Danio rerio: one gene and its partners. The protein of the gene in region 1 purifies or fractionates together with the protein of each later gene. This does not show direct contact. Links are inferred from orthologs where the notes say so. Each region holds a gene or a part of one and is shown in the gene's direction. Other genes may lie near its edges.

What was found. The genes of interacting proteins can lie anywhere in the genome.
Region 2: the proteins of atp6ap2 (region 1) and atp6v1ab purify together in Homo sapiens (co-immunoprecipitation; 3 studies listed by BioGRID and IntAct, with this or other methods). This does not show direct contact. The link is inferred for Danio rerio from reciprocal best matches to the Homo sapiens genes ATP6AP2 and ATP6V1A.
Region 3: the proteins of atp6ap2 (region 1) and atp6ap1a purify together in Homo sapiens (affinity purification with mass spectrometry; 5 studies listed by BioGRID and IntAct, counting the BioPlex papers as one, with this or other methods). This does not show direct contact. The link is inferred for Danio rerio from reciprocal best matches to the Homo sapiens genes ATP6AP2 and ATP6AP1.

The regions. Positions count from the first base shown.
Region 1 is NC_133197.1:10,778,565-10,782,224, reverse strand, and holds part of atp6ap2 (renin receptor), read left to right. Parts: intron 1-274; coding exon 275-412; intron 413-658; coding exon 659-712; intron 713-3,382; coding exon 3,383-3,532; intron 3,533-3,660. UniProt on the Homo sapiens protein: Multifunctional protein which functions as a renin, prorenin cellular receptor and is involved in the assembly of the lysosomal proton-transporting V-type ATPase (V-ATPase) and the acidification of the endo-lysosomal system.
Region 2 is NC_133199.1:25,049,988-25,053,747, reverse strand, and holds the start of atp6v1ab (V-type proton ATPase catalytic subunit A), read left to right. Parts: upstream 1-1,380; 5' UTR 1,381-1,442; intron 1,443-2,784; 5' UTR 2,785-2,795; coding exon 2,796-2,877; intron 2,878-3,732; coding exon 3,733-3,760. UniProt on the Homo sapiens protein: Catalytic subunit of the V1 complex of vacuolar(H+)-ATPase (V-ATPase), a multisubunit enzyme composed of a peripheral complex (V1) that hydrolyzes ATP and a membrane integral complex (V0) that translocates protons.
Region 3 is NC_133198.1:4,945,444-4,949,203, reverse strand, and holds the start of atp6ap1a (ATPase H+ transporting accessory protein 1a precursor), read left to right. Parts: upstream 1-1,340; 5' UTR 1,341-1,384; coding exon 1,385-1,503; intron 1,504-2,000; coding exon 2,001-2,127; intron 2,128-3,622; coding exon 3,623-3,697; intron 3,698-3,760. UniProt on the Homo sapiens protein: Accessory subunit of the proton-transporting vacuolar (V)-ATPase protein pump, which is required for luminal acidification of secretory vesicles.

The DNA.
Region 1 (3,660 bases):
GTACTTAATATTGTGAATTGTTATTAAAGTGTTACTTAATTTTATTATGTATTCTTTATCATATTACTTGTCAGGCATCTGTTTTTATATTGAAAATAAATAAATCAAATATCAGTGTGTAAAATGGCAAAAATGATTACAATGATGAATGATTACTCATTTGTTGCGGTAATTCTAACAAACTATAAAAACATGATAAAATACCATGTATTAAACCTAGAACATTTGCTTTCAGTGTCTAATATTGAAAGAAGTCTTGATTTTTGTCTTTCAGAGGCTGTATATGATGGGAATGGCCAACACAGTTTTTGAGGATCTTCCTGTCACTCTGCAGCAGATTCGTGGACGTCTGTCTCAGGACGGATCCGTTCTCACGTCCCTTCCTCTCGTCTCTCTCAGCCGCAACAATGAGGTAAACGCGTGCTCAAGTATTTCAGCATCAGTTTATTTTTTAGACTATGCAGTGTATATATACATAGCTATCCAGACATGAACTGTTTTTAGGCTGAAGTAGGAAATGGCTTTCTCTGACTTTATTTATTGATATGTGAAAGTACTTGTTACAGATTGAAACCGTGTTCAGAACGTGCATGTTGGGTTTGTTTTCCCACACCAAACTACATGCTGGTCTAAATATAAATGTGTGTGTGTGTTTCAGGCTGATCTTCTGTTCCTCTCTGAGGTTCAGGTGCTGTATGACATCTCAGCTCTGGTGAGTTTCACTACAACATATTATAACGTTTGTGAGAATATTTTAAGGGAACTGTTTTAAACAGGCAGTCTCCTACATGAATTTTAGTATATTTATCGTTGACTAAATTTGAAGATCTTATATGATCTGATTTTTGTTGTTATTTGTGTTTGGATATCGTATAAGTTATGGTATCGTATAAATTAGGTTTCATTTCTTAGTTTTTTTTCCTTAGTTCCGTCTTTCCAGTTGGGACAAAATTAGGGTTGGGCGATATGAGCAGAAGAAACCTATCACGATTTTCTTGAACAATATTGCGATTTCGATTTTAATCACAATTTTGACACACACAGACATGTGATTCTGAAACATATTTCCAAAGGAAAACAATTAGATCTTTATCAAAGACCTGTAACATGCCTCTAAAATAGACACAAGGCAAAAAAATTGAAATCACATTGTGATGGTTTAACAAGTTGGCTTTAGAACAGACCTATGGCAATACAAATAAATAGACTACTGTGTGTGTGTGTGTGTGTGCCGTTAATTAAAAGTAAGGGTCCGATGTTCTGTCTGACCACATGTTTAAGGTAGTTGCGTCTACTTTTCTACGAGTCCACAGATTTGTTTTTGCCATGCATAGGTCATAGGGCTGTATGATTAATCAAATCGGAATCGCAATTGGTTAAATCGCAAGAGGCTGCGATATAAATTATGTATTATTTAAGTTCCCTAACCCAGAGCAAATGCGTGACTGCGGTCTGCGTGTGACAGTCTTACTAGCCAGTTGAGTGAGCAGTTTGTTCTGCCCAATCAAAATTGCGCAGTTGAACTATGCAGAACGCCTACAATAAAAAAACAAACAAACAAACAGGAAAGCACGGACAAGTGTGATTATAGCATCTGCTACTTCAGAGGAATTAATAGATGAATTGATATGAAAAAGAGAAACAGCACTGGTAATATGAGAATATTTTAGTTTAAAACTCACACACACCGAATAAAAACATTTGTAGGAGCTGTCGCAGAATTGTTGCCACGGCCTACAGATTATTGAGGTGAAGCTTGACTACAAAATTAAATCGCAAATCTAATTGCAATCGCAATATTTGTCAAAAAAAAAAAAAAACGCATTTAGATCTTTTCCCCAAATCACACAACCCTAATAGATCATAGACCTCTTTGTGATGCTGCCATGAAACAGGATGTTCGCATATCGTGACTTTTAAGCGCACAAGTTCCTTATTTCCAATGGAGGCGCACGGCTTGCGCGAATATCGGAAGTGACGCGCGCACATATTCCATGCACACCAGGTTGAAAACATCTTTACTTTCAGAATGATCAACCGATCGGCTTTATACTTTGTGTGGAATATACACTTTTCAGTATATCAGTTTGGTGTTGGGTTGTCAAAGGTTCATAGGTTGCTAGGCAACCAATTGTTTTCTCAGAGGATGACAAGCTGTCGCTTTGATACAAGTTTTATTTATGGAGAAAATTATAAAGCACTGCAGTGTTTGGCTGTTCTGTGTTTGTCTAAGATAATTAGTCCACTAAAATTTGTATGTTCCATACAAGCTGAAGGGTCAGCTCTTGTCACGTGACTCGCGGTGCGAGTTTGTGAGTCCTTCCCTGGGCATTTCCCCTTCGCAAAAAGCTTTCCAAAGACGTCTGTTTCTTACTCATTTTGCTGCTTATGGGTTAAATTTGGGGCACTCAAGTTACAGAGAGAATACAGTGATTTTTCAAAATAAAAGATTGTTCAGACTCAGATAATACATAAAACAGAAATAATTAATGATTTCTTTGTGGTCCAAAACCAATTGATTCAATGTCCGGTACCGGTCTGGGGCCTGGTGGTTGAGGACTGTTAGGCAAATTTAGAAATTGCACAAATGTGCGATTTCGAAACGATTTCAAATAATCGCACAGCCCTAGAAAAAATGTCAACATTTTCTTCATTATTTGATGTAGCCGGATTTTTGTAGGACCTCTTTGTGTTGTTTTGTCTATAGAAATCTCATAGTACATCAACTGTTTGCTCACACTTTACAATAAGGTTAGATTAGTTAATGTATTTACTAACATGAACTAATGCTGGTTTCACATCAATGGCGGAATTACTTTTCGCACAAGTAAATTACGTAAAAAAAATTTGTAAACGCGATTAAAGGTAAATTACTGCCACGTAGTGCGAATAATGCAGAATGACTGATGCGTTTGCTGCAAATGTGTGGAATTCACCTCAATTGCATCGTTTCAACATGTTTGAATAATTGATATTAAGTGAAAAATTTGTGTGAGGAGAAACATCCCGTGAGTAAACTAGAGCTATGATGCGCTGCTCCAGACTTTATGTAAACCCAGCATTAAAATGAAAGATACTTTGCCACAGCATTTCTTTAATATTGATCAACATTTACCAGTGTTATTAAAATCCAAATTTATGTTTGTTAACATTAGTTAGTCGGGAGTTAACAAACTACCAACCGAATGTTCATTAGTAAATGCAATCTTCTTGTAAAGTTTTTCCAACTAATTCCTTTGAAAATTGTTTAAAAGAATCTCTAAATCAAATCTATAATTAAATAAAATGACAGTGGCAGTTTTAAAGTATAAAAAGAATTGTGCTGATATTTCCACTGAGGATTGATCGTTTCTGTGTTGTTTGAACTGTTCGTTTGCTACAGTTGCAGAAACACAAGCATCTGGCTAAAGATCCTGCTCCTGATCTTTACTCTCTGGAGCTGGCGGGACTGGAGGAGATTGTTCGCCGCTACGGCACAGACTCACCTCAGTACACCGACGCCATTAGGATCCTTACAATTGCTCTGCAGAAGGTATGATGTTACTACATAGGAAATTTACTGAATTATTTAGCAGGATTGTTCACCCAAAAATCTAAATTCACTCACTCTCTCACCCTCAAGTGGTTCCAAATCTTTGAGTTTCCTTTTTCTATTGAACA
Region 2 (3,760 bases), on another chromosome or scaffold:
GCAGTGTTTAGCATATAAGATGATCTGATCTGAACCATGCTGAACCTTTTGACACTTGAATACCAAGACAGAAAAGCCTCCAAAGATGATGCTTAAAATCACTTATTGGCAGAGAACATTTGTCTTTTGACTTGATCTTTCAAAGTGAGCTGAGTTGAGAGAAGAGCAAGCGATGGGAAGGAAGTGTGGAAGGAGAATCAAATTTAAATGACAGATTGAAGGGAAACAAGATTTGTTGGTGTGAAATACACTGTATTTGTACTGTCCATATGAGAAGATCAAAGTATGTGAATTACACTAGATTCAAACGTACGCTCTCTGGTTTCCATTTTCATGTTATATTTTGCAGCAATTTCTCTCTTTTTGGTTAAGCATTATCTCCACTACTTTTTTAAATGGACATTTCTGTTACCTCAAACATGTTACTTGTGAGTTCATTCATTAATTTACCTTCAGCTAGTCCCTTTACTCATCAGGGGTTGCCACAGTGGAATGAACTGACAACTTACCCAGCATATGTTTCACACAATGGATTTCCTTCCAACTCCAACTCAGTACTGGGAAACACCCACACACACCCATTCACACACATCCACTATGGTCAATTTAGTTCATCCTATTGACCTATAGCGCATGTCTTTGAACTGTGGGAGAAATCAGAGCACCCAGAGGAAACCCTCTCCAACACAGGGAGAACATGCAAACTCCACACAGAATGCCAAATGGCCCAGCTGGGACTCAAACCACTGACCTTTTTGCTGTGAGGCGACAGTGCTAACCATTGAGCCATAGTGCCGCCCTAATAGTAAATATTGTACCCTATTAAATTTTTCATCCTTTCCATAAAAAAGTGTATTTGTGTAATCGTCCATGTCTCTGTTATTTATAAAAGCCACAGCACAGTCCCTGTTGAGTTTCTTGGATTATTGTTTAAGTTTTCTTATTCTTTCCTCTAGTGATAATACTGAAATGGGTAACATTATTTAGAAGATCTGTATCTTTACTAAATTAATTTAACATATGCTTACAATATCCTTTAATTTTTTGTTTCATTTTTTATACTTTATTTTAAATATATATATTAAAACTTGCATTTACAAAATGTGTAAATATGAGAAAAAAAATCAAGGACTTGTTAAATAGGTATTTTTAAAACTCAATTTGAAACAAAATTTTAATTATTTGAGTCTAGTAATGGTTAATAAAGAAGGGATTAATGCATGCATAAATGCTGAACCACCTTCACAGCACTATTTTTCCACACACACTAGGGGGCAATGTAGAGTTTCACGCACGCGCAGTTGACCTTTGACCCTGCATAGGGAGACAGGCTGTGACGTCATCTCACAACTGGACTGGACCGACTGAATGAAGTCAGCTGACTTTTCATTGCTGCTCACGTTTCATCTCACTAAAGGACCCAGACTGTCTCATCATCTGAGGTATTTACTCTTTTTTTGGACAACCATAACATTTTCACGCTGTTGCGCTATTGCAGAAATGTACATTTAGATTAGCCAGCCAAAAAATAGGACTAACGTTAGGATTTTCCCCATTCTCTTTGCAGCCATTCATAATCCATAACATTCATAAACAGCTCATTATACTGCTGTATGTAGTGTATAATTGTGTTCTGTGTCGATCTGAATGTCCGCTTCGCCTCAGCGTGCAGCTCATTCTGTTTGCTTAACGTTATTACATGTTTGTTTTTATTGCAGCATTGGGAATAATCCTACTCCGATTGCTGAAATATTTAAATATATTGTATATAAAGAGATTTGAAATGCTTACAAACCTGTGAGATCAATCGGTTTAACTAACGGGACACGAAAAATGAGCAAAGATTTCAGCAAAGGTCAAATTCTATCGCAGCATCGCGATCATGTGATCATGCAGCATCTCTTTACAGATCGATCTCCTAAAGCGGCAAGCATTAAAAATATGTAATACACTGAAATAATGTATATTTAATAATATGTTATGTTTAATCTTGTCGTTTTTGACTTTGAAAAGATTCTATTTGGGCACTGAGATATGTAGTTGCCCGCTTAGAATATTTATCTGCTGCTTTCCAATTAACAACAACACGCTAGGTTTGCTGACTAACTCACATATGCTAAAATTGTCTGTAAACCAACACCCAAACAGGCAAAAGCAAAGTTTTACACTAAATAAACGAATTGTCTCTCTTAATCAAAAATCTCATATGAGCATCATGTGATTGTAAATTCACAAAAACATGGAAGTTCCACTGGTTCCTCATGAGGCTTTTAATAACCAGTAATGGCTATTTTTATGGATGATATTGTCAACGTCATGCGTTTTATTCTAGTCTTTGTGGGATAGTTAGTTGTCTGTTAACTATAAATGATTTGATCAATTTTAATTTAAATTCGGGACTACAAAATATAATGTTATCCACATTTACTCAACAGTTTTTCCTACTTCCTCACCATGATTTCTTTTTTTACAGTCAGTCAGTGTCATGTGCTGCTGGTCATGTGACTGAGTTTCATGTTAGACTTGTATGGAATGCTTTATAATATAAATTGGCTGTTAAACATTTGGTTTCCTTTTGCATTTTATATGACTTAACGTGTAACAGAAAATGTAACAGAAACATAATTTTAAATTATAGCTATGTTTATACCACTATATAGGAATAGGGATAAATACAACAACCACGTGGAGCTTATAGGTCTAGGAAGTGTAATATTAGGTACAGAAAGTAATCCAAATAATCATCTGCTTTATCTTTCCACGTTTTGTATAATTTCATATCAGACACATTAAAAATGGACTTCTCCAAGTTGGCCAAAATCCGAGATGAGGAGCGGGAGGGACAATTTGGATATGTGCATGGTGTATCTGGACCTGGTTAGTACAAATAAAAATGTCATAATATTTGATTTTAATTAATAGGTTACCATGAGTTTTTTTTTTTTACATTTTTTTTTCATTTTATGTTTTTAATATTTAAAGCTTTTAATTTTATTTTTCTCTATTGTTTCCTTTTTTATTTCCTCTTTTTTTTTTGTTAATATGTGACCAAAGCTGTTAATTATTTTTTGTTAATTTTATTTTTTTTCCTAAAGATTTAATTTAATTAATGTGACCATACTTTTTCCTTGTTAGGTTTTTATTAAGTATACCCGAATCTTTGCATTTTATTCTATATTATTGTTTAATTTTGTTGGGATATTATGTTGATAGGGTGTCTATTTTTATATAGTAGAGTTTTTTGTTTTGTTTTTAAATTTTTGTTTATTTTTCTCTTTTTAATAATTTTTTAATGTCACCAGATTTAATGATTTGTTTATTTTTAATTTTAGTTTTGTTGGATTAGTATGACTCTGGGTGCTCCGGTTTCCCCCACAAGTCCAAAAACATTTGGTTTAGGTGAATTGTGTTGGCTAAATTGTCCATAGTGGATGTGTGTGAATAGTTGTGTGTGGATGTTTCCCAGAGATGGGTTGCGGCTGGAAAGGCATTTGCTGCATAAAACATGGTCTGGATAAGTTGGCGGTTCATTCCACTGTGGCGACCCAGATTAATAAAGAGACTAAGCCGAAAAGAAAATGAATGAATGAATGGATTAATATGACACTTCTGATGAACATTTTTATTATAATATTTTTTCAAACCCATCATTTATTGAAGTTTATTTGAATCTTCGAGTCATTCATAGTACAGGTTCCACTAATTGTCACAATTCTTCTACTTGTGTTACAGTGGTGACAGCCTCCAGTATGGCAGGAGC
Region 3 (3,760 bases), on another chromosome or scaffold:
TTTTAAATACAGAGAGAAATACTTTGAATGACAAAACTAGCGGTTTTTGTACTACAGTTTTTATTTTTGATGCGGTGTTTGACGGTATTTAATACAAAATACTGACTGTAAATACAAAACCTTAATCAGTTTTTTTCTCAGGTGTACCTATGCATTTTATATCTGACAACACATTTTGTAATTTTAGCTTGCCAGTGTGGGACAGAGAAAACATATAGTGATGTACTATGATACAAAATCAAAACTACTCCTACATCAACAAAAAGATGCATTGACCTAGACTAAAAAGCAAGTCAAATGTATTATTATTTTGTAAAATACATTTTTAGGAAGAAATACACACCTGAAGCTATTTCTAAAAATGTATAATAAAAATGAAAGCTGGCCAAACTGTGATTTATTTATAAATTATGTGATGAAAATGTGAATGGAATGGACAATGGAAAATCTGAATAAAAGTTTTCTTACTGCTGCTTATCTGTGGGATGAATTGTTGGAGTGAATTGATAAAGCGACCTTTAAAGAAAGCATTCATACTTGATTTTTGATCAATGTCAGCAAATTATTCAATTAGATTAACTTATGATGATTAATTACACTAGTAGCATCAGTACATGAAATATTGTGTGTGTGCGTGCGTTCATGTGTGTGTGTGTGTCTGTGTGTGTGTGTGCATATAGTTATTTTCAACAATTCCTTAAGGATTAAATGTCACACCACCAGAACTAAAAGCTTCACATGAAATCATGACAAAATGACTATAATTTAAAAGTGAAAGTAGAGTTACAATGAGATTTTATTTGTAGATCTCCAGGAAATAGAAAGAAGGTCAAATGATGTCACCAGAGAGATGATTATTTCAACATAATAGATATATATTTACTTCCTTTTCTCCTCTTTAACATTATATATATATATATATATATATATATATATATATATATATATATATATATATATATATATATATATATATATACATACATACACACACACACACATATATATATATATATATATATATATATATATATATATATATATATATATATATATATATATATATATACTTCTTTTTTCCCTTTAAACATTATTTGGAAATTTGCTATTTAACATACTCACACAGGCCTACTATTTCTTTTAAGGTAAGACAAAGCAAGCCATCAATATTTTATCATTGGTTTTATAACTGGCTAAATAAAATCAAAAAACATTACTAAACAAGTCATGCTGTGTCTGTTTACATTTAAGAATAAAACAAACAGCAATGCATAAAGTAGCGTTTTTAAAACAGATTACAAATTCATCTCATCACGCGGTCGTGACATCACGGCTCCGCCGCTGAAGATGGCCGGTTGTGACGTCAGGGCTTATCGCACTGAAGATGGCTGCTGTAGGGAGAGTCTGCGTCAACGCCAGGATGATTTTACACGTTTTTATCTGTTTGTTCGCAGCAGCGAAGAGTGATGAACAAGTCCCGCTGGTCGCATGGGCGAGTGACGGGTAAAGGACGCATGTTATAAGAGTACAGTCACGGAGAATCGTGAAAGCGATGGTTAGCTTTCATGCTTTGCTAGCTGAATGACGCGGTCGCTGTCCAGTTCTGAAAACATGAGGAACACATTTAGTATGAGCTTAAACGTTTGAATCATCGAACAGTCTGAGTCATTTACTAATTTATCTCGATATTTATGTATATATATATACTATATTGTTGAGGACTGTCACTTGTGTGGTAATGTTATGTTGGTAAAAAAAAAAAACTTGGTTAAAAGGTTTAGTTGGGGAAAAAAACACGTAATCTCCGTTTGATTGTTATAAATAGATGTATTGGAAAGGGGTTCATTGGCAGCTGGCTTTAGCCCTTATTGGGGGATTTTTGTAAAAGCTGAACAGTATTACATATTTGGTTCAAGATAACCATAATATGCAGTTGTAGTATAATCATGGCATGCGTTTTTTCTAGGCCTGTCTTCTTACAGTAGTTTGTGCTTGTGTAGGTTTGTCTTGTCTCCTGTGAACGCGCCGTCAGCAGGTCACACTGTGTCTATGGATGAGCTGGAATCATACCTGAACACAGCTTTGAGCGCAACACCTCATAATCTACTGCTCTTCCTGCAGGATAAAGTAAACACTACATTACACATTACACAAAAATATAATTTTTTTTATATCAGTATTATAAAAGGAGATGTAAAAGACTGTAGAAAGTATATACTCAGAAATTGACTCATTTGTTCATTTATTTAGACATTCCGGGCAAATGTTTGATTAAATTTATAGAAATTTTAAATAGATATTGATCAAATATAATACTTTTTAAAAAATGAATGATTACATGTCCAACATAAAATATGTTGCGAAATAAAATGCACAATGTAAATATAGTACTTTCAAGATTACAACTTTCTCGCAATACAGTTATTCATGTTTCTGTCTGCATTCCCGTATTGACATGTAATTCATTCTTTTTTTTTCCGGCTTAGTCCCTTTATTAATTAGTGGTCACCACAGCAGAATAATTCGACAACTTATCCAGCATATGTTTTATGCAGCAAATGCCCTTCCAGCCGCAACACAAAGCTGGGAATCATCCAGCTTATTCAGTTCACCTATACTGCATGTCTTTGGACTGTGGAGGAACCTAGAGCACCCAGAGGAAACCCACGCGAACACAAGGAGAACATGCAAACTCCACACAGAAATGCCAACTGACCCAGCTGGGGCTCGAACCAATGACCTTCTTGCTGTGAGGCGATCGTGCTAATCACTGCGCCACCGTGGTGCCACATGGCATGTAATATTGCTTATAAATTACGTAATTTAAATAATCATATAAGTTATAAAAAAGTATTACTGTAAACAATGCATTTTGTGGCACCACGAAATAAATAGCAGAGCATAATATGAGATGATAGACTTTTTATTTTGTCCATTCGATATGTATTGTCATTGTACAGCCATAAATGTCATTTATTTCAAATAATGACTTTATTCTCATATGAATAATTCAGTCATGTCTTTCAATGATGAGTGATTACTAAAGCATGCCAGGGCATTACCACATGTTGATAAAATACAATAAAAATATGCAATAAGTCGAATTTCAAATATTCCTATATTGGTGGCATGGTCAGTTGGTATTTCTGTGTGGAGTTTGCATGTTCTCCCCATGTTTGCGTGGGTTTCCGGGTGCTCTGGTTTCCCCCAAAACCCAAAGACGTGCTATAGGTGAATTGAGTAAACAAAATTGGACGTAGTGTATGTATGTGTGTGTGAATGAATGTATGGGTGTTTCTCAATACTGGGTTCTGGCTGGCAGGGTACCCACTGCATTAAAAAAATACTGAAATAGTTAACAGGAATAGGAATAGACTAAGCTAAAGAAGCAAAATAAACGAATGTTCCTTTATTTTCACTTAATGATAATGTGTCATATGATTCCGTCATACACTGCATTTAAAAAAACACACAACATTATGCATTTCTGAATACTGCACTATTAGAAACTCTGGCAGAAGAAATGTTTTTAAAGGCATTGGCAATGCTACTACTATGTGCTTCAAAAATTCAAGTGAGACTACAGTTTTATTTTGGTGAATGTTGTCTCTGTTTCATTCAGTTGAGTGTTGATGACTTTACAATGTATGGAGGAGTATTTGGAAACAAACAGGATAGTGTCTTCCAGAATCTTGAGGTACGTTTCTGTGTTTTCCATCTGTCAATTTTTGAAATACTGCTAATGATTCGCACACATTCA